Linked DNA regions of Yarrowia lipolytica. The protein of the gene in region 1 interacts with the protein of each later gene in a pairwise test. Links are inferred from orthologs where the notes say so. Each region holds a gene or a part of one and is shown in the gene's direction. Other genes may lie near its edges.

Region 1 (7,564 bases):
CCTTCGTGATAGTAAATGTTTGTTTGAGTGAAGACCAAGTTAAACAACGACTGGAGTATATCTCAGAAGTAAATTCGATGACACCCCGAAGAAAACATGACTTTTGCCTCTCATTTCGGTTGCCACATATTCTGAACTACTATGGCTTCTACCCTAATCGGGAAGTGTATATAGCTTTACCGTTGAGTTGAAATCGTATTGGATAGGAGTATGTAAGCGACGTAGTGTACAAGCACTTGTACAAGTAGCAGATCACTCCAGGCATCAGAGCGCCTTTATTCTCTCATGGCACTCCTCATATCCACACCAACTCCGACTCCATGTACTTGTACTTGTACTGGTATACCTCATCGATTCAGATGGTCTATTCATTCATTAAATAAGGGTGACGTTCAGAAGACGTTCCAACGTGTACTTGTACTTGTACCCGTATCAACATATGTATCGTTTGATCCAGTCGCCAGGCCGCTGCCGATAGCCTCAAACAAATCTACTTCAGCGATTTACTGCTTGTCCTTGGCGACACCGGCGGGGAAAGAGCCCTGCGTGGTCTCCTTCTTGTCCTTGCAGTCGGGAACGGGGTCGGAGGGAACAACTCCAGAGGGAAAAGAGCCGGAAGCAGTGGGGATTTTGTCGCTCATTGGGAATGTAGTGTGGGTTTGTTTTTGGTGTTGAAGAAAGAGTATTCGCTCAGAGAGACTGGATATTTATATATTGGCGCCGTTGGGGCCTGCAGCAGCAACCGAATCATTGAACTCTGTCACCAAGGTGCGGTGTCTATGTAGATGGAAGTTTGTGGAAAAGAGAGACGCCGTTGGATGATGTCATGGAGAAAGATACGTCCGTGAAAAAACACATTTGCGAGTTACAGTGACCATAAGGGTAATCCCACCGATCAAGTAGCAAAACATTAATCATTTATTGAGGATGCTCAAGTTACTTTAATAAGTCCTGTAGACCAAAAAAATTGCCTTCGACCAGATTTGAACTGATGATCTCAGCATTACTAGTGCTGCGCCTTACCACTTGGCCACGAAGGCGAAATTTCTTTCATGTCAGAAACCAGATCCGGTTTAGTCAGTAGTTCAGCTCAGACCAGCGGCAACCTCGAGTCTGGATAAGACATGAAACGATTGATTTGATTTCTTGATCTGTTAGCCATGATTCACTACCACGAGACCACGAAAATGACATCAACTAGACGAAGCGTCGACAAACCAAACCGACAGCGCCCCCCCAGCGCCACATATGGCAAAGAATTCAGAAGTTTGTATGATTTTATTGAACGCCAATAACCCGGCTTACTAGGTATATAACTGTAATGAATCATTAGAATAAAAATATATAATTAATCTGTTACTTTCCTTTCCATTAAGAGATTAATATGTCAGAGTATCTAAAACATTTGGCTTTATCCGGTTGTAGGGCTGTTGCCTCATGGGCTTCTCTTCTACGGTCTTACCGTCGAATTTGTACCAATAATTTGACTTGAGTTTGTTACTGTAGCCCAGAAATATCCTTATTCGTCTCTCTCCACTACAGTATGTACATACTCCAGGTAGGAACACTACAAGAAGCGCCACACCACTCCCGTACCCCCCCTACCTATCAACCTCAACCAGCCTGGGGGCCGTGCCGCCTACATAGTTATATATGGAGCCTGTCTTCTCAGATACATTCTTCTAACTCTGGGTTACTAATCCAGCTTGACGGCTTGTACAAAACCATTGCCGAACTCCCAAATTTATGCGACAATCCTCCAGTATCCACCACCGCCACCAATTGTGGAACATGATAAGGTTCAGGGTTCATGCAAGGTGCAAAAAATTTGGGATTGTAGGTAAAATAAATTTCAGTCCATTGGTGCTACTCTCGCACACATACATCATACGAAAATGAAACGAAAGCATTCTGAGGTGTCTGAGAAGACGAAATCAGAAAAACCGGAATACAAGTCAAGCCTCAAGATGGAGGAGGGCGCGTTCCCCCGAGGAGGAGCTGGAGTGCTGTCTGCCATGGAGATTCGACAGACTGCCGATGAAGCTGCGAAGGACCTGTTCGAGGAATCACAGGCCGCCAAGAGCTCCAAGAAGAAGGGTGGAAGAAAGGCAAAGCAGGCTGTGACGAGCGACATTGTTGCGATCCAGTCTCTTTCTCTGGACAATATCTCTGTTGGTTCCATTATTCTCGGACGAATCGTCAATATCCAGTCCACCGCTTGTGTCGTTTCGCTGCCCAACAACCTGCATGGTTTCGTGTCTTGTGTTCAGGTCAGTGAGGCACTCAACGCCAAAATCGAGGAGGGCGAGGAGTTCGACCTTTCGGACTACGTCAAGGAGGGACAGTGGGTTCGAGCTTCTGTCGTCGATACCTCTAACAAGCGTCTGGGTCTCAGTCTGCTGCCCAAGGATGTCAACAGGGATATTGAGGACAGTGACATTGACGCAAACATGGCTCTGCAGGTTGAGGTCAAGTCGAAGGAGGATAAGGGTTACGTTGTTGCTACCGGTATCAAGGGCAAAAAGGGCTTTATCAAGGACACCGACGTTGAACTCAACAAGGGACAAATCGTGTTGGCTTGCGTGCTTCGAATCAGTGGCCGAACAATCACCCTGGACACAGAGCATACCGGTGAGGCCGTCCGGCAACTAGAGGACTTCTCCAGCGCTGTCGCTGGTACCCCAGTCACAGTCGTCACCACCGATAAGCGAAATAACGGAGCAGTGGTTTCCGTCTTCGGTTCCGTTGATGCCACCATTGATCCCTTCCAGGGATCCTTTGGCCTTGAGGAAAAGACTAGCTCTGTTGCCCGAGTTGTCGCTACTCTCGACCGTGGTGCCAGCGGCAAGCGAATGCTTCTCTCTGCTCTGCCCCACGTCGTCAACTTGGAGGATGCTGACCCCAGAATCGGTGAGGCTTTCCTTCCTGGACAAGTTCTGGGCGTCAAGGTCACTCATGTCGTTCAGCACGGTCTGTTTGTTGAGCTCGCCGAGAACATTCCTGGTTTCATTCACATCTCCAAGCTCGCTGATGAGAAGACCGATTCTACAGCCGACTACGAGGTTGGCCAGACTCTTGATGCCAGAATTATCGCTTTTGCCCCCCAGGACGAGATGTACGTTTTGTCTTGTGAGCAGTCTGTCATGGATGCCAAGTACATTGCCACCAGTGATTTGTCTGCTGGTGACAAGGTCGAAGGTACTGTAACTAGGCATCTCCCCAAGGGCGGTATTATCGTGGCACTGTCATCTTTCATCACCGCTGTTGTGCCTGCTGCTCATCTTGTTGATGCCAAGATGGCCAACCCCGAGCTCAAATTCAAGATTGGATCCAAGATAAAGGGCCGACTTCTCGGTGTGGACAGCAGCGGTTGCCGAATGACCATCAAAAAGTCTCTCTACAACTTGCCTAAGGACGATTTTATCTCCTACGCGTCTGAGATTGGCGACATTGGTTCTGGAACAGTTGTAAATGTCAAGCCTGGAGGGTGTGTCGTCGAGTTCTGGGACAACTCTCAGGCCTGGCTTCCTGCTGGAGAGGTGTCTGAGGCTTTCATCGCTGACATTACCAAGCATTGTCGAGTTGGCCAGACCGTCAAGATCCGAATTCTGGATATCAACCCTGAGAAGCAGTCTATGCAGGTCTCCTGCAAGCTCTCCAAGGTTGCCGCTGAGCATGTCTCTGGTGCCTACGAGGGCATCTCTCTTGGAGACCTTGTTACCGGTAAGATCATTGACAAACGAGGTGACTTTGTTATCGAGATGACCGTTGGTGATGTCGATCTCACTGGCGTTGTTCCTCGAAACCTGCTCCCTCCTAGTCACAAGAAGCTGCGTGTGGGAGACAAGCTGGAGTGCGTTGTCCTTGCCAAGCAGCCGTGGATGAGCTCTATGACTCTCGGTGCTCATCCTGACATCATCAAGGGATACCATAACAAGACTCTGATCAAGGAGACTCCTTCTGTTGGCCAAACTGTCACCGGTTGGGTCCAGAACGTCAACCAGCACGGTGTCTTTGTGTCTTTTGCAGGTGTTGTCGGTCTTGCTCCTCAGGCATCTCTTAGTGATGACTCTTATGACAAGTTCCAGGTTGTCAAGGGTCGAGTGACTTCTGTCAACGGCGACAAGTTTGCGGTCTCTATTGGAAAGTCTCTCAATGGTCCTGCCGTCAACCCCGTTGACCCCAGCATCTCTACCATTGCTGACTACTCTGAGGGTAAGAAGACCGAGGGTATTGTTACTGCTGTTCTCCCCTCCTTCGTCTCTGTCCGTCTTTCCGACAACCAGAACGGTCGAATCTCACTCTCTCAGCTCGAAACTCCTGTTGAGAAGGACGATAAGATCTCTGTGACCGTACTTGGTCCCTCTTCTCAGGGTGATCAGATCGAGCTGGCTACTAACGATGTTCGACTTTCTATCAATAATCTTGAGGAGGGCAAGGCTTACCCTGGTGTCGTTGTTCAGTCTACTGCGGACTCCATTTGGGTGGCTCTGTCTGCCTACATTGTCGGCCGTCTGGATCGAGCTGATGTTCAGGAGGCTGACTTCGCTGATGCTGTTGGTGACCTTGTCGAGGTTTCTGTCTGCGGTATTGAGGGTGACAAAGTCAAGCTTCGAGGAGCTCAGTCCGAGGAAAAGTCTGAGGGCTTCTCAGAAGAGGCGCTGCCCGCCTCCAACGGACTTCAGGGTGCTCAGGTGACTGCTCGAGTCAAGAAGATTGAGGTTGACTACGTTCAGTGCACTATCAACGTCAATGGCAAGTCCTCCACTGCCACAGCCTCTCTTGTGGATGCTGTCGATGATTACTCTCTCAAGCTCAGCAATGTCTACGACATTGGTGAGACTGTTCCCGCTGTCATCTGCTCTGCCAAGGAGCCCTACGCCATTTGCATTCGAAAGAACCCGGAGGGTGTCGATCCTCTCCCTTCGCTCCCCCTCAAGCGAGGTGACAAGGTCAAGGGTGTCGTCACTGGTATTGCTGCCGGTATCTTCGTTGCTATTGGCCACGGCATCGATGCTCGAGTCAAGATCACTAACTTGTCCGACTCTTTCCTCATGGACTGGAAGAAGTATTTTAAGATCGGTCAAATCGTCACTGGTCGAATCATGGGCTTCTCTGACAAGGGTCTCCCCGACATGTCTCTCAAGCAGCGTCATATGACTGGTGACAAGCTCATTGAGGGTCCCCAGGATCTCACTGTTGGCCAGAAGTACGACGGTTCTGTCCAGCGAACTACCGACTATGGTGTCTTTGTCAACATTGGAGACGCTACTGGTCTGTGTCATAGATCCGAGATTGCCGACACCCCTGTTGGTGATTGCTCAGAGCTCTTTAATTCGGGTGACAAGGTCCGAGTTATTGTTCTCAAGATTGAGGGCAGCAAGGTCTCGCTTGGAATGAAGGCTGCCTACTTCGAGGGTGATGAGGATGACAATGACGAGGAGGACAGCGATATCGAGATGGAGGTCGAAGAGGACTCCGAGGAGGATGAGGAAGACAGTGAGGATGATGAGGACGAGGACGACTCTGAGGATGAGTCTATCCCCACCATTCGATCTACCAAGCAGCAGCAGAAGAAGGCCAAGTCCACTGCCATGGATGTTGGCTTTGACTGGTCGGGAGACGTCTTCGGAAAGGAGGAGGAGCAGAATGGTTCTGATTACGATGATGAGTCTGACGAGGAAGATGATGCCCCCAAGTCTCGAAAGAAGCGAAAGACTCAGATTGCTGACATCACTGCTGATCTTTCGACTGCCACCCCTCAGTCTGTTGGTGATTACGAGCGTCTGCTTGTTGGCAACCCCAACTCCTCTGTTTTGTGGATCTCCTACATGTCTTTCGTCATGCAGCTCTCCGAGCTTGAGAAGGCTCGAGAGATTGCCCAGCGTGCTCTTAAGACCATCTCTTACCGAGATGAGGATGAGAAACTCAACGTCTGGCTCGCTCTTCTCAATTTGGAGAACACTTTTGGCACTCCCGAGTCCACCGACAAGACCTTCAAGGACGCTGCTCAGTACATGGACGCCGAGACCATCTACATGAAGATGGCTGACATTTACGCTGCTTCTGACAAGAAGGACAAGGCAGACGAGGTCTATGCCAAAGCTGTCAAGAAGTTCTCTGGCTCCATGGAGGCGTGGATCAAGTACGCCACTTTCCTGTTTGATAACGAGCAGGCTGCGAAGGGCCGAGTTCTGTTGGATCGAGCCACCAAGGCCCTGCCCAAGCGAGACCATCTCCAGTGTGCCATCAAGTTCGCCCAGCTTGAGTACAAGTCTGGAGATGCTGAACGAGGCCGAACTCTTCTGGAGGGTCTGGTGTCTGTCTACCCCAAGCGAACCGATCTGTGGTCTCAGTTTGTCGACTTTGAGATCAAGTATGGCCAGGACAAGACCAAGATCGAGGCTCTGTTTGAGCGAGTTGTTGCCTTGCCCAAGTTGTCTCTCAAGCAGGCCAAGTTCTTCTTCAAGAAGTGGTACCAGTACGAGGTTGAGTCTGACGACGACAAGGCCGCCGAGTACGTCAAGGCCAAGGCGGCGGATTACGTTACTCAGCGAACAAAGGAGGATGAGGAGGAGGATGAGGAGGAGGATGAGTAAAAGAACGGTGGATTGTTGGTTTGTGATAGTATTGGTATTAATTGATTATTAATGATAGAATTACGTTAAGACTTGTACCTGTATTGTATATAGTAGCAGTAAGCGAAGACTATTGGAACAAGTACCGGTGGTCCTGCTTGACTTGTGGGTCCGTGCCCACAATGCCTCAAAACGCCAGATGGCGTGAGCCCATTCTCGGATGAAGTTCATGAGGTCAAACTGAGCCTCAACTAGCACACTATCCTCCATTGTGGCCTGGGCCGGGTATCTGAAGACAGGAAGACGACACAGTCGGAGCATGTGGAGCTTTTCGGCCCTCCGGGCATTTATCCTGTTATGATTGCCTGGTAGCTGGTTTGCTTGTAGCCAAAGTTCATGTTTGGGGTCGCGTTCCTGATCGAGCAGGGCCATCCAAACATAGTTCTTCATGACAGTGAAATGCTTGTGCCAATTGCCCATGGCCTCACGGGGCGTTATCGGCAGAAGGAATAAGAGATTATCGATCTACACTTCGGACATCAGGGCCATGGGGGGATCCACACGTTGCTGGTAGAAGGAATTTTTTTATTATTTTTCTATGGAAATACATTTCAACTACTTGATGCCTACAAACAATGTTATACCCGAATATCGGACTCGGTTTTTTTTATTTTTTTATTTTTTTATTCTCATGATTCATTACAGCTATATACCTACTTGTAGTAAGCCGGGTTATTTGCGTTCAATAAATCATACACTTCTGAATCTTTGCGATGTGCGCTGCGGGGCGCTGTCGGTTGGTTTGTCGATTCATGGCATTCTGAGTTGAACTGCTGACTAAGACGGATCTGGTTTCTGACATACATGTAATCCGCGCCGATGGTTTAGTGGTAAAATCCATCGTTGCCATCGATGGGCCCCCGGTTCCGATTCCGCGGGTCGGCGGCAGTGTGGTTACGGCCCATATCCTGGTGAAAATACGGCTT
Region 2 (5,493 bases), on another chromosome or scaffold:
CCGCCCGCAGCTCAACAGGCAGCTCGGCTCCATGCTGGCTCTTGTACTTTTCAGCCAGATATTTCATGGTGTACCTCCAACACCCCACAGTTCCATGGCTCAGACCAACCATCAACAAATGATCTTCGGGCTCGTTAGCTCCGTTGTAGTCGGCGAAAATGTCGCTGGAGATCTGCGACAGGATGCTCTTCTGTCGCTTCTTCAAATCGACAATGCCAGTAACTAGACCCGTGGACTTGTATATCAAACAGTACTGCGAATGCTTCTCGTCCTGGTACACTCTGTGGAACTTGTCTGGGGGTCTGTTTCTGTCGGACGTGATCCTGTGAGTGACTCTGGTGACCGAACACCGGTATCGTCCGTCCATATCGACATTGTAGACATTTCCATCGTAAAGAACCATGCCGGCAGGAGGCTGTCGCCGTTGAGCGTGTAGCATCTCTGAACACCGTGTAGGAGTGATCAAGTACAGGACTGAGGTATGATCGTGTCTTCCAAATACATAGACACAGTCTCCGATCACCTGCAGCCGCAAGGGAGGCTTGCAGTTCATTTTGATCGACTCAGGAGCCTTGTTGGGGTACTTGACCGTCAACATCAAATGGCCCTGATGCACAGATATTGCTGCAATGGCCCGGGACGTGTGTCTGGCCTGAATCATCCGTCCCTCGACCGTCACCCCAAACCCGTGGTATTTGATGGTTGTTCCTGCATCTCCAAAGCTCACCCCGTAGTTGCAAGGCACAGCAAAGTCCGTGTTCAGATCGCTGAGGTCCAGCTGCTTCTCGTTGAAGCAAATGCCCCGGTTGTTGTAGTCCCACGAAAATGTGCGTTCCACGTCGGTACACAGGCACTCAAAGTCGCGCGGCAGAGGCGAGTCAGTGTGGAAGGAGCATTCCACAAGGTCAATGAACACGTCAATGTGTCTGTCGCGCACGTAATGGGCGCCGCCGGTCCTCCAGCTCCCGTGCTGGCTGTATTCAAGGCGGTAGTAGGGGCACTGCTGCATCAGCTTGTCCCGCACCAGCGACTCGGAGATGGACTGGCGGTAGTGGCGGTTGGTCTTTCGCAGCGCAACAATGTCTGCCAGCTCGAGATAACTGCAGATTCGTTCAATCAGCTCGGGCAACATTGGGTGTTGTTATGGACGGCTTCTCCACCTCCCCCCCAACGGTAAATCTTGCTCATGTTACCCTGGGGGTTTTTTTTTTTTTATCTCTTAGTGCCATTTCCGAACCACTTGCGGACTAGGCGGAAGAAAGGGCAACCGAAAAGAGACTGATAGCCCTCAGTTATCGGCCTCCCTGCAGGACCATTTGTGGACAGGTGTCCCCTGTTGCATAATCGGCCAAATATATACGAGCATGGGGGAAAAAAGAGGTGGGTCGTCTGTTGATAGGCTGGACATAGATTCGTGTAGAGAGTCGAAGATACGACACTATCGACGGCTAGAGGAGCTCGTAAACAGAGCCCTACAACTAGTTGGGTGGTGTAGAGAACAGCTAAGGCCACACCATGGACCGTTTAGGAGCAGTCTAGAACCACCGATACCGAAGCTAGTGGAACAGGCTAAGTTTCACGGCGATTATCGACGCTTGTGGAGCCACTCGACGCTAGTTCTAGACTTGTTGCCATGTGGATAAAGCGATCCATAGTCGTTTTAGCGCTGTTTTATCTGGCGAGTGCTTTCGTCAAGTGTAACCGGGCAATGTTGAAGTTGCAATGGTGAAGTTGCAATGTGGAAGTTGGAGAATGTCAGTCTGAGGTGTGAGAGACTCCGCAGTCTCGAAGGGTAGGAGCACTAGGACTGTGCAAATAAATAAATGAATAAATAAATGGAATAAATAAATGAATAAAAAATAAAAAATAAAAAAAATAAAAAATAAAAAAAAATAAAAAAAAAAAAATAATACAGAAAAAAAATATTAAAAACAAAAAAAATCTTTTTAGAACAAAAAAAAAAAAAAAAAAAAAAAAAAAAAGCGGAAAGAACAGCGTTAAAAAATACTGTCTTGAAAAAGAAAAAAAAAAGACTTTTTAGGAAAAAAATTAGCAAAAAAACAGTGTTAAAATACCGTTCAGTTACTTGACAACCCCTCCAACTACCAAGTTACTTGAAATCTACCGCTCAGTAGCCACCAATATGTGACTACCAAAACACCACTGAAATTAAACACCAAAATAAACACCTCAAACACAAAACAGTCACTAGAATCGAACTCACATCTCCGAACCACCCTGGGTACAGTACTATCATCACCACTAACCCTAACCCGCACATGCATACTGCAAGTCTAAAAGATATTTTTTTTCGAGAGGTTGAAACAGACATCTACGAAATTTCAGAAACGGTCCAACATGGTTCTTAAAACTGGAACCGAGTCGGGTAAAAACCACCGAGTGAGTATGGGCGACATGGAGGGCACATGAGCTGTTGGACCGCCTCTAGAGCGATTGTGAGAGGAGTGGAGCGCCATTCCATGTGGATCTGCAAACAGTAGCCGAAGACGGATCTGGGTGGCAATTTGGAGATCGATTCGAGCTACAAGTATCGTAGACGGTTTTCATGGGTCTGTACGAGCATACTGATGTCACTAGCTGTGCTTACTGGGCGATCGCCACCGCCAGGATCATAGCTCCAGGAGATACGTTAGACCTACCGGATCAGCTGTTGGGCTGAGACATTCAATTCCATACTAATGCAGTTCAAATCGTTCCGAGAACGTCTTGATGCCATCAAGATCGATCCGCTGAAACGGCAGAAGAAAAAGCTGTCGCGGGACACGGACACGTCGCATTTCATTGCATGTTACACGACCCATGTTGAGCTGAACTTGTCCACCAGCTTCACTCGTTTTATGGAAAAATGTGGAAAGTACGCCGTGTCGCTGCCCATGGTGCTGTTCCACAAGGAGGAGATTTTCGATGGTTTGGAGGAGTGTCTGGAGGATGGAAATGAACACAGTGTGGAGGCCCTGCTAGAGTGAGTATGAGAAATGGAGGATGGAGAGGAAGTCCCCGATACAGAACTAACCCAGTCTACTCACCAACTTTGTCCGCGACCTGGGCGAGGAGTTCGAGCCATACTTCCCCCGAACTCTCGCACTTCTCATCAATCTCACCTACCACTTCAATCTCGAGGTGGTCGAGCACACTTTCAACGCAATGGTGTACATTTTCAAGTACCTGGCTCGTCTATTGACTAGCAACCTGGTGCCCCTGTACGACAGCGTCAGTGTACTTTTGTCCCGAGGAGATGAAGATGTGCAGATGATTGAGAACGGAGAAGAAGACGAGGAGGAGATCCCGGAGGAAGACTCTGACGACGAGGAGGATGACAAGCCCAAGCCTAAGAAAATCAGACCGTTTGTGCGAAGATTTGCCTCGGAAACACTGGCCTTTCTGATCCGAAAGTGCTCCCAAGACGGTCTGGACGTGATCGTGCCGCACGTGATGAGCACGCTGGAGGGCTCGTCACGAGATTACGTCTCTGCCGTCTCCGCCATGTTTGCTGCGTCTATCAAACACACCAAGGGAGCTCTTCATTCAAAGACGGACTTGATTCTTCAAGTGTTATTTGCATGTGCGGCTTGTGACGACAACACAATCACCGAGGCCGACCGAGTACACGTGACCATGATTTCAGAGACTTTGGCCGTTGTGCTGGAGCATATTGAGGACCCTGTCATGGGCCAGGCCGTGTTTGATACCTTTTACCAGTATGCCCAAGGCAACGGTAACTACGATACTGTGACCTATCTGACTACTATAACCGCCATCCGAAAGGGTTCCCGAGTTCCTGATTGGGCTCGAGTCTTCCAGGAGGCCAAGGCTTTCTGCTCCACTCTCTCCGACAAGGCCATTGTCGAGTTCGCGCTCCTGGTGGTCTCGCTCATCCAGAACGGCGCCCAGAGCAATGTGCTGGCCAACCATACGTCCTTGCTCACCACTCTGTCGTCCAAATCACGTGAGCAATACTTTGTGGCGTTCCAAATTCTTGCCAAGGTCCAGAGTCAACGGTTCACCGATATCTGTGTCAAGTACATTCCTCAGTTGATCAGCATGTTCTCTGATGATCTTTCGCAGATTGCACTCTTTGTCGACAGTCTGGAGAAGATCAAGTGTCTGGATGCCTGCAAGGTTCTGAAGAAGGAGATTGTAGCGTTTGGCAAGAAGAACATGTCCACTGAAACAGTCTTCAACCTCTATTGGCGAATCAGAATGTTCACCAAACTTTCTAATGTCGATATGAAGAAGGAGATGACCGAGTTTGCCATTGAGCTACTCCCCAAGCTCTCCGCTGACGACGTGTATACTGGAGCTCTTTACGGAGTCACTCTGAGTCTGATTGGGTCATTGGGAGACGATAAGCAGCTGGTGGAACGAGCCCTGGGCCGCCTGGAACACTTTTCACAAATCGAAGGCTACATTACCGGTCTGCTGGCCATTTGTGACTCTTCAACCAAGCTGGATGACTCGTCACTGGTGCTGCTGACCCAGAACCTGACCTCCGCAAACACCCACGTGCGGGACGTGACGCTGAGCCTCATTTCGAAGCTGTCACGTGGCCAGAACGCGCTCGTCAATGAGTGCAAGGTCATTTCATCCATTCCGTTTGATTATACCACGTTGCGGTCTCTTGTTCAGCGAATCGAGAAGCTCGGAGAAACCTTCTCCCTGTCTGGGTCAGATACGATTGCTGATTCAGCAGTGCCTCATTTCCTGTTTGGACTTCTTACTGTTCATTTTACGCCAGCTCACGAGGCTGCCATCAAGGCCCTCAAGAATGTTGCCGAACGATTTCCGGAGCTGGTGTGGAAGTTGTCCTACAACGTTTTGCAGGCACGTGACCTGGTCAAGGTTGATGACGACTGGGTGCCCGAGCCACGTCATGTTCTGGACAGCCCCTTCACCGACTCCATGTCTCCCGACTATAACTTGAATGGTTTGTTTGAGACGTACAATGAGCTTGTTTCTCGCGATAGCAACGGAGCTCTGTTTGAGGACTTTTCCGAGTCGGCTTTCCCTGCTGAGGAGCCCTTTTACCTGCGAAACAATGTGCTGAAGGTGCTCAAGGCTGTTCCTCGGGTGTCTGAGAACCATGTGATGGAGCTGGTTCCCTATCTTCTTTGGACTGAGGGTGTTTCTCGAGATAAGCAGGCTGTTGAGTCTTCCGAGTATGGACTTGCCGACTCGTGGACCCTCAAGGACAAGATTGTGTTGCTGGACATTTTTGCTCTGTTTCACAACACCAAGAACTGTCCTCGAGCCGAGGAAATTTATCAGAGATACCTGCTGCTTCTGACCAACAAAATGAACTCTGTTCAGAAGGCAGCTCTTCAGTGCATCCTATCCTGGAAGAACAAGGTGGTTCGCAAGTACAAGGACAATCTGTTCAACTTGCTGGAGGACTCGCAATTCAAGGACGAGATGCTGAGCTTCCTCAAGCCCTCAAAGGACCGAGTTTTGCATGAAGACGACGAGCATGTCATC
Region 3 (3,885 bases), on another chromosome or scaffold:
TACAGTCATTGGAGAATGGTTCTCCAGAGTTCTTTTTGGAACCGTTGCTCCTTCTCCCCTTACAGCCACTGCCCCCATCTCTCAGGACTTTTACGACACTGCCCTGACTTTCTCCCACCTCTCCAATGTTGCCTACTGTATCAATACTCCATTGGAGTCTTTGAAATCTGACTTCTCTTGCGGAGTAGCATGCTCTCACTTTCCTAACATGGAGCTGGTCGAAGTGTTTGGAGGTGAGTTTTTCGAAACCTCCATCACCGGATTTCTTTCTATTGACCATGTCAAGAAAGAGAAGTATGTGGTTTACCGAGGAACCTACGACATCGGAGACGTCTACACCGACATCCAACTGTCCCAAAGCCCCTTTCTCGTCACTCCTTCTGCCCTAGGATCGACTGCAAACCTCTGCGAGGGATGCACTATTCACGACGGCTGGAACAAGGCTTACAATGAGACCATGGGCATTATTGGAGACAAGCTGGCTGATCACGTTAACAGCAACCCTGACTATCGATTGGTTGTTACTGGTCATTCTCTGGGTGCTGCTATTGCGGTACTTTCTGCTACAAGTCTCAAGGTGAACGGTCAGGATCCCTATCTTTACACCTATGGTCAGCCTCGTATTGGAAACGCCAACTTTGCCAATTTTGTCTCCAAGCAGTGGTTTGGCGAAGGAGATGGTCTCAGCATGGATTCTGATAGACGTTACTTCCGACTGACTCACTGGAACGATCTGTTTGTAGGATTCCCCGCTTTCAAGGACTATGTCCACTCTGTGGGAGAAATCTACATTGATTACTTCACTGTCCAGCCTCCTCTGAACAAGGTCTTCTCTTGTGCCGGTCCCGAGAGTATGAGCTGTTACAGAAAGGACTTTAACGCTCTTGCTCGGTTAGACATTGTCAAGAACCACCTGGCCTACTTTGACTGGATCTCTTTATGCACTCTCAATATTGGACGTCGAGATCTGGAGAGAGGGCGCAAGTTTGAAGGTACTTGGCTCTACGGAGGTCTTGCCAACGGTTCCACCATCTTTTAGAAGGTAGAAGAGAGTGACTGGGGATGATCTTTGACCACCAGCTTCCATATTTGAATGACCCTCTTTCAATCTGTATAAATTACTGTAGACTATGATAATATCTTTTGACAATCGTGTAGAAGTACAGGTCGAGAGAATGGACAGTTGCACATATTAAATTTCCTATTCTATAGATGCCACAATTGTATTACTGTAGGTCTTTTGTTTCTCAATATTTCCAGAGTGGTTTGCTGGACTGAGGGTCGCATCGCTCTTGTTTCAATGATTTTATTGTGTTGTATTATTAGGGGGGTGGGTGTGAAGAACGCGGAAACTGACATGACCAACAGGTGATAGAACAGACAAGTTTCCAGAAAAGCTGGTTTTATTCTACTTCACGTAGTCCCCTTCTACAGTATCATTGTGGATTCTGTGGAACCATAGGCACCAAAGGAGTATCTGAAAGTAAACAGAAACGATTGAGGGCATGTTAATGAATATACTTGAGACTAAACATAGATTCACATGTGCTAGTACCGGTATATAAGACAAATACCTTCTTTTTTTGCACCTAGGATATACTGTACTTGTATGAGCAGGGTACCTGGACATACATCGTCCCCAACCCAACTCTGGTGTTCCGACTAGACTCGATATGAGTCTTGAAATTTGAGCGAGCACGCTGCGCAGACATTGGGTATGATGGATGAAAAGAGCGCTTCGTTTGTGCAATTGACCAGGGATGCTTGTTGCTGAATCATCTCATGATTTTAATCAAAATTTGTAGTTACAAATACTTGAACTTGTACTTGTAGAGTAAATGTTCAGTTCTTTTGATAACTGTAGCTAACATACATGCTGACTGCTGTGCTTTCAAATTCAGCACAATTGCACACCTCCAGGTGGCAAAATGAGCGCTAAAGTTGAATAATTGAAGTATAGCCAATGAAAGACCAGCTTACAAAAGAATAGAAGTCTTTTTCTTGCATATATTCAAAATCTACCCTTGTACCAAAATGAAGGATTCATCACCAAGTTTCAAGACACACTTCAAGGATTTTGAGTTTAACCCTAAAAAATATTTCTGCATGAATCGTGAAAATAAAATCCCAATCAGTATAGCATCACACACACAACACACACACTACACACACAATGTCGACACTATACAAGACCTTGAGCGGCGAGAGCTCTAAGCCCGAGAAGACCGAGAAGAAGGACGATGGAGTGACCAACAAGCAGCGAGTGCTGATCATCACTTCTCGAGGAGTGACCTTCCGACAAAGACATCTCATCAGCGATCTCCAGACCATGCTTCCCCATGGTCGAAAGGAGTCCAAGCTCGACACCAAGTCCAAGTTGTACCAACTCAACGAGATTGCTGAGATGTACAACTGCAACAACATTCTGTACTTTGAGGCCCGAAAGCATATGGATCTGTACATGTGGATGGCCAAGGCTCCCAACGGTCCCACCGCCAAGTTCCACATCCAGAACCTGCATACCATGGACGAGCTCAACTTCACCGGCAACTGTCTGCGAGGATCTCGACCTATTCTGTCCTTCGACAGCAGCTTTGACGACACCCCTCACAATGCCGTGATCAAGGAGATGCTGACGCAGACCTTTGGTGTCCCCAAGGGTGCCAGAAAGTCCAAGCCCTTCTTCGACCACGTCTTCACCTTTTCGCTGGTGGACAACAAGGTCTGGTTCCGAAACTACCAGATCCAGGAGACTGTCAACGAAGAAAACCCCCGAGAGACCGACATTTCTCTGGTTGAGATTGGTCCCCGATTTGTCATGACTCTCATCACCATGCTTGAGGGCTCTTTTGGAGGCCCCGTAATTTTCGAGAACAAGCAGTATGTGTCCCCTAACACTGTCCGATCGCAGATGAAGCAGCAGGCCGCTGAGCAGGCCGCCAGCCGAGCCGAGGCTGCCTTCAAGCGAAAGGTCAAGGTCAGAGATGCTGTTATTGCTGCTGACCCTCTCGCTGACTCTGTGATTTTCAAGTAAGCCAATGGCTAGAAGTGCAAGATTGAGCGGGTATTAGAGAGCAGCAGCATAGCTCGAGCGAAGGATACTGATAATAGAGTCGACTGGCTGTACGGACCGACTAGGAAAAGGTACATTAATAGATATGATGAATTTGATTGATAGACAGTAGAGGAGTACCAACTCTTACTTGTAGCAGCTTTGGCTATATGGCTTGTTACTGGTACTGGGAATGGCTGTATTGTTCTGTGGAGTGTTACAGCTAGAATGGTAGATACAGGGAAGACTCGTCAGATATGAAGACTCACAATTGATGTTGCTGCATCGTATATCCTCACTACAGTACATCCATACATGTCACTTGAGAAGTCGTGTTTACGATACATCGACATGTGTGCGTAACTAACCGTCGAACAAGCGTAAGATAAAGACACAAAAGGCACACTGTAAATAAAGCAGAGGCACTTAGGCCGTGCCACCATTTAATATATAAACGTCCGCCAATACGACCAGACTCACATATACAACCTAGATACAACAGATACATCATTGAGACAATCGAATGGCCACTCGACCTGTCACGTCAACACGAAACATTGCTCTCGGGTTTCTCGAAAAAGAGCTGGAAGAACACAAACAGCAGCTGTCGACCCAGAGGAGAGAGCTCGACATACGATTGAAACCTCTTAGAGACGAGAAGAACGAAGTTGTTAATGAGATCAAGAGTGCTCACAGCCTCCTTGACGGTCTTCAAGCCAAATTGAAGGACTTCGAAGACTTAGACAAGCGATTGAATGAACAGATCAAGGAGGAAGAGAAGAAATTCGAAGATGAGTTTGAGGGTCTGATGGCTAGGATTACGGGTCTCAAGG
Region 4 (5,852 bases), on another chromosome or scaffold:
ACCATGTGACATTCGGACTTGGGCTGGGGAGTCAGGATGACATTGTGTTCGGCCAGCTTCTTGGCCAGGTCAGGGTCGGCCTTTGCGCCTCCGTCTCGGGTGCAAATGAGACGAGGAGGGGTTTGAACATTGGCCGAGTCGAGCAGGTCAAGCACGATACGTCGGTCCCACAGCACTTTTTGCAGAATGAGGTCATTGACGAGGAAGGGTTTTCGTAGCTTGACGTAGGAAATGGCCTTTTCGAGGGGAAAACCGGATGAGAAGAAGGAAATGAGAAAGTCACACGTGGGCCAGTTCTCAATGGGCTCGTCCAAAATCACCTTGTCTCCAAAGACAACGGTTTCAAATTCGCCCGTGTCCAGCAGCCTGTTGAGAATGTGCCGACATGGCTTGGATCGGGCCTTGACGTCCATCGCACAGACACCAATTTTGCCAATCTTGGGAAGGTTGGACAGGTCGGGGGTACCAGAGGCAGCTCTGATGCTAGAGAAGGAAGAGGACCGTCGGGCTCGGCCCTCAACAGCAGCCTTTATTGACGACGTGGAGATGGACGAGTCCGAGGGCTCGTACGAGGATGCGGGGGCCGAGGCCGACACGGTCGGAGACGGTTCTGAACATTTTTCCACGGGGGGGGGTGTGGTGGGTGGTGTGAAGATGTGTGAGAGGTAGACCCGATGTCGACGAGATCAGCTTTAGGGTTCAGACTAATGCTGCGCTCGACAATTGGGAATATCGAAGCAATGATTCTGGGGTGGAGTTTGGATGACAAGGAGAGGGGGTAGAAAGATGAAAAAAAAAGAAATCGATTTCAAAGGAAGTTTTACAGCGATTGACCTTTTAAGATCCGACATCGGTCTCTGGTAAAACAACTTTTAATACTCCCGTTTGTGCTGTTCGCTGCTTATGGTTTTGGCTAACACCAGATGCATAGGCAGCGTGGTGCAGCGAGCCATTCTACTGGACTGGAGCTACAAGCAGCTGATTGGGAAATGTTCTCTGGCTGTTTTTGGAGTGGTAAAATTGATTAGACCACTTGTAGTTATTCTTTTGTTTTATGAGTGAGTGACGTATACTCTTGGCAAGCCACCCCCATCTGAGTTCTTCCGGTTATCTACTGTACGATACCGTCTCCACAGCTCGATCGTCTATGCAGCAGCTTCGCCTTGTTTGGTGGGTTGATATAGCATAGCACAGAAGACCTTAAGCCGATATATACTGGGTGATATCGACAGATTGAGATATAGAATGACCAATTCTCAGTCTGTCTCCAATTCAATAAACTCCCACCTACTATAATACCCCACAATAGTGGCTTTACAGTCCCCTCAATCTACTCCATTGTATCTATCCACGTGCTCGCTATTGTGGAGCCAAAGTTTCGTTGCCGCTCACATGCAAAGAAGACAGACGTATCGTGAGCGCAAGGCCAAATGTTACAGTGGTGTAGAAGGAGGGCTCTATATAGACAGTGTCGGCATCTCAAGTTGCTGGGTCGCACACATCCCGTTGTTATTAATCGTTTCCACCAGTCGTTCCAATTTGGATCTTCCGATATAGTTTTGCACGTCTTACTTAGAAGTAATTGTTACGAGCACACTTGTAGTGAGACAGAGCACTGTAAGTACCATACAGTATGATATACAGTATGTACTTATTTGTACTTTGAGTGCTCTATGTGCTACTTGTAGAATATATATATTATATAATATATATATATATATATATTATATATATAAAGCCTTTCGGATGTTTCAGAGTCGAGTGTCCACTACTGATGCTAACAATGCTACAGAGCTGCACAAAGAGGAGCATTATTTTATTTTATTTTATTTTATTGTATTTTATAAACACCACCACAAGTAGTACTTATTTTTATAGTACGTACGTACATTTTTCATAGACAGTCCTTCAAGTACCAACTAAAAATCCAACAAAAATTTCCCTTCACTTGAAACCGAACTCTATCGCCCAACTTGAAAATATAAACAGAACCAGTTATTTCCACTATCACTAAAAAAGAACACGAAGAATACTCTCGGTATACTTCTACTATCATTTCTGCATCTCATCCTAACTTCTTACATATCCTCATATACTGTACAGATTATGACCCATCCAAATAAACTTCTGGCATGCACGACCCAAATATTTTTTTCCAAGCTGCATCACACAAATCATAGCGTTCCGACACCCGCTCTAAAACGATGCCTGCGATTGAAAAAAAGCGAAGAGTGGAGTCTGACGAGGTCACTGTGCGTGACAGACTTGTCGGAACCCCCTCTAAGATCTTCACGCCTTTCAGAGTGAGTACTACACCCCCATCACTACACCCAACATCACCAAACTAACACAGACTATTGGACATGTTGCCAACTCCACACCTATTTCCGTGTCATCTTTCGGCCGAAACTTCCTGGTTGCATGCAGTGTGGGCCGAGCCGTTCAGATCTACGATGTTTCGACGCTCCATCTCATGTTTGTAACCTCTCCTCAGACCCCCGCGCCCATCCAGTCGCTTCATTTCCACCGACCCTACGTTTATGCCACCTGGGACAACTGTATTGGCGTCTACTTCCGTGGTAAGCTACTGTACAAGCTGGAGTGCGACACCAAGGACAAGCTAGTGTGTGTGCGATCTTTCGGAGAGAACCTGGTGGCCATCAACAGCTCACAGATCTTTGTCTTCAAGCGAGGCCAGAAGAAGGAGGAGCAGTCTGACGACGAGGACGAGGAGGAAGATAGAGACGAGCTGGACCCTCCGTTTGAGTATTACACCACCGTGACTCTCGCCAACTCTGTGGGAGCTGCGCACTCCATCATCCATCCCCCCACCTACCTCAACAAGATTGTGGTGGCAACTCGACGGTCTCTATTGCTGGTGAATATTCGAACAGGCAAAGTTGTTTTCTCCACCAACGAGATTGGATCTGACGACGAGATCACCGCCATTGTTGACGCTCCCGTTGTGAACTACATTGGAGTGGGAACTGCATCCGGAAAGGTGCACGTCTACAACCTCAAGCTGGGTGAGCGACTCATGGCCTTTCACACCGGCTCGCGGGTCAACTGCTTGTCGTTCCGGTCGGACTCCTTTGCCCATCTGGGTGTCGGAACCGCCTCCGGAGATGCTTTCTTCTTTGACCTCAATTCCCAGAAACGTCTCCACGTGCTGAGAGAGACTCACGAGGAGAGTGAGGGAGGAATCACATCGCTGGTCTTCCTGCCCGGAATGCCAGCTTTCCTCACATGCGGTGGAGATAACTCTCTGCGAGAATGGGTGTTTGATCCAGTCATGTCGGAGTCCAACAAAACAGTCATTGCACCTCCGCGAGCCCTCAGACACCGAGCTGGTCACAGTGCGCCCCCCACATCGATCAAGTTTGTTGACGAAGAGGCCCATTTTCTGGTCTCAGCCTCCGGAGACGCGTCCATGTGGCGCTTCTCGCTCCGAAAGGATGCTCAGAACCAGGAATTCTCACAGGTGTCCAAGCTCACGGAGGAGCAGAAGAACAACCCTTTCGCCAGCAAAACTCGAGCTGCCGGACCCTCTAAAAAGATGCGTGTCAAACTTCCTCCTGTCACTTCTCTAGCCCAGACTTCGCTTAGACAGCAGGAATGGGACTCGATTCTGACAACTCACAAGGGCGAGAACTGGGCACAGACTTGGGACGGACACCGAGGACGAGTTGGAGCTCACAGATTGCCCACTTCAGATGGTGGCATCGCACAGACTGTGACTGTGACTCAGTGTGGTAACTTTGGTGTGGTTGGATCTGCTACTGGATCCGTTGACATTTTTAACCTGCAGTCAGGCATCCTGCGACGCAAGCTACAGGGTACCCCCAAGAAGAAGGCCATCACAGGCATCGTGGTTGATTCGCTGAACCGAGAAGTCATCACGACTTCTCTGGACCGAAAGGTGCGATTCAACGACTTCCACACTGGTAAGCTGCTCGAGACTGTGACCCTCGCTGCTCCTATCACCAAGCTGGTTCTGCATGACTCGTCAGATCTCATTGCTTGTGCTCTGGACGACTTCTCCGTCGTGGTCATCGACACCATCACCAAGCGAGTGGTTCGAGTTCTGGAGGGCCGACACGCCAACCAAATCACCGACATTTGTTTTTCTCCCGATGCAAAGTGGGTTATTTCAGCATCTCTCGACTCGACCATCTGCACCTGGGATCTGCTGACTGGAGCCTGTATCGATGTTATTCGACTCGACACTGTAGCTACAAACGTCGAGATGAGCAGAAACGGCGACTGGCTAGCCACAGCTCACGTGACCGGAAACGGTGTGTGTTTGTGGTCCAACCGGGGCCAGTTTGTAGACATTTCGTCTGCTCCTGCTCCCGAGATTGAGTCTTCTGAGGTTGCCCAGATTGATGCCGTCGGCTCTCTGGCTCAATCCTCGGTTGTGGATGGTGCCTTTGAGGAGACCGAGACAGAGGATCAGAGTCTGGCTGCTTCGATTGCCCAGATCGAGGAGTCTCTGCTGACCCTGTCTCTTGCTCCCTCCTCCAAGATGAACACTCTTGTGCATTTGGACACCATCAAGATGCGAAACAAGCCCAAGGAGGCCCCCAAGGCTCCTGAGCAGGCTCCTTTCTTCCTACAGCTTACCGGTGCCGACAAGAAGCCCGAGGAGGCTACTTCATGCCCCGATGGACTTGTCCCCTCTAATTTCGATGCTATTGGAGAATCTGCATTTTCTCGTCTTCTCCGAGAGGCTGCTCAGTCCGGCGAGTACCATGAGTTCATTGACCATCTGGCGGGTATGTCTCCTGCCCAGACCGATCTCGAGATCCGATCTCTCAACTCCTGGGCTCCATACACCGAGCTGATTGCGTTTGTGGACGCCATGGCAGCTGTTCTAGAGAAGCGAACCAACTACGAGTTGGGCCAGGCATGGATGAACATGTTCTTGCGCTGCCATGGAGACGTTATCATGTCTGCTCTCAACCCTAAGATTGTTGAGGACGAAGAGGAGGACGAGGTTCAGCAGCAGCCCTGTGAGCCTCTGAAGGGGTCGTTGACCAGATGGAAGGAGCTCAACCAGCACGAGTCCAACAGAATGGAGGATATTGTCAAGTACTGCCAGGGAGTCATCAACTATCTGCGAGTTGGATACTAAGCAGAACCCATAAGGGCTGTTTGGGTGGAAAATGTTAGAATAATGCATGTTTTTGGATACTGGAGTAGAGATATGATGAGAAGGTGTCACAGTACACCATACAGTAGGTATAGCAAAGGTAACAGTAATGATAGACATTGTTACTTCCAAGTTCAAGCGTAGTTATCCTTCATCTACAAGGTAGTATGATACCGCGCTTGTAGTTACTGTAGACCACGTTTACAACAAGCACTCGAATTACGTGACCAAAGCAGCCAATACACAGTTCAGTTGATAATACGTCTTGTAGTATAATGTACCTTTGTAGGCAGAAGTTCATGGTATCCTGACTGAACTTGTACTACTTGTAGAGTGTATACTTGTACAGCACTATAATATTACGTCATGCGCCACACAGCCACTGTGAAATATGCAGCAAAGGAACCACAAGCATTGTATGAGAAGACACCAGTACTTATAGTGATGACAGGTGAAGGGTACGATGCGGCACAGAGAATAGCAGAATGAACCAAATAGCTTATATTAGGGTCATTATTAATCACTGTCTTTTCCCCCTATCGAGAACGTTTCGAGAGCCGTCTCAACTATGTCGTCCTCCAGTTTCCCCTTCTATGATCGTCTCCACACTCTCCACATGTAGTCTAATATTTCGACAACCCTAACCTAGGCACGTGGGCGTGTTTTGTCGTTGCAAGAGGATCTATGTAACGGGACGGAA

The links.
Region 2: the proteins of YALI1_E35580g (region 1) and YALI1_D28518g interact in binary tests that used the Saccharomyces cerevisiae proteins (3 or more experiments, as listed by UniProt). The link is inferred for Yarrowia lipolytica from reciprocal best matches to the Saccharomyces cerevisiae genes RRP5 and UTP20.
Region 3: the proteins of YALI1_E35580g (region 1) and YALI1_B15692g interact in binary tests that used the Saccharomyces cerevisiae proteins (3 or more experiments, as listed by UniProt). The link is inferred for Yarrowia lipolytica from reciprocal best matches to the Saccharomyces cerevisiae genes RRP5 and BRX1.
Region 4: the proteins of YALI1_E35580g (region 1) and YALI1_B17908g interact in binary tests that used the Saccharomyces cerevisiae proteins (3 or more experiments, as listed by UniProt). The link is inferred for Yarrowia lipolytica from reciprocal best matches to the Saccharomyces cerevisiae genes RRP5 and UTP21.

The regions. Positions count from the first base shown.
Region 1 is NC_090774.1:3,556,083-3,563,646, forward strand, and holds YALI1_E35580g (uncharacterized protein), read left to right. Parts: upstream 1-1,895; coding exon 1,896-6,599; downstream 6,600-7,564.
Region 2 is NC_090773.1:2,849,287-2,854,779, reverse strand, and holds the start of YALI1_D28518g (uncharacterized protein), read left to right. Parts: upstream 1-2,358; coding exon 2,359-2,400; intron 2,401-2,705; coding exon 2,706-2,983; intron 2,984-3,038; coding exon 3,039-5,493. Other genes in the region: YALI1_D28537g (uncharacterized protein), read right to left, coding at 1-1,132. UniProt on the Saccharomyces cerevisiae protein: Involved in nucleolar processing of pre-18S ribosomal RNA and ribosome assembly.
Region 3 is NC_090771.1:1,567,084-1,570,968, forward strand, and holds YALI1_B15692g (ribosome biogenesis protein BRX1), read left to right. Parts: upstream 1-2,173; coding exon 2,174-3,034; downstream 3,035-3,885. Other genes in the region: YALI1_B15670g (uncharacterized protein), read left to right, coding at 1-1,039; YALI1_B15703g (uncharacterized protein), read right to left, coding at 3,043-3,275, 3,318-3,399; YALI1_B15706g (uncharacterized protein), read left to right, coding at 3,576-3,885. UniProt on the Saccharomyces cerevisiae protein: Required for biogenesis of the 60S ribosomal subunit.
Region 4 is NC_090771.1:1,787,315-1,793,166, reverse strand, and holds YALI1_B17908g (uncharacterized protein), read left to right. Parts: upstream 1-2,204; coding exon 2,205-2,303; intron 2,304-2,353; coding exon 2,354-5,134; downstream 5,135-5,852. Other genes in the region: YALI1_B17927g (uncharacterized protein), read right to left, coding at 1-413. UniProt on the Saccharomyces cerevisiae protein: Involved in nucleolar processing of pre-18S ribosomal RNA and ribosome assembly.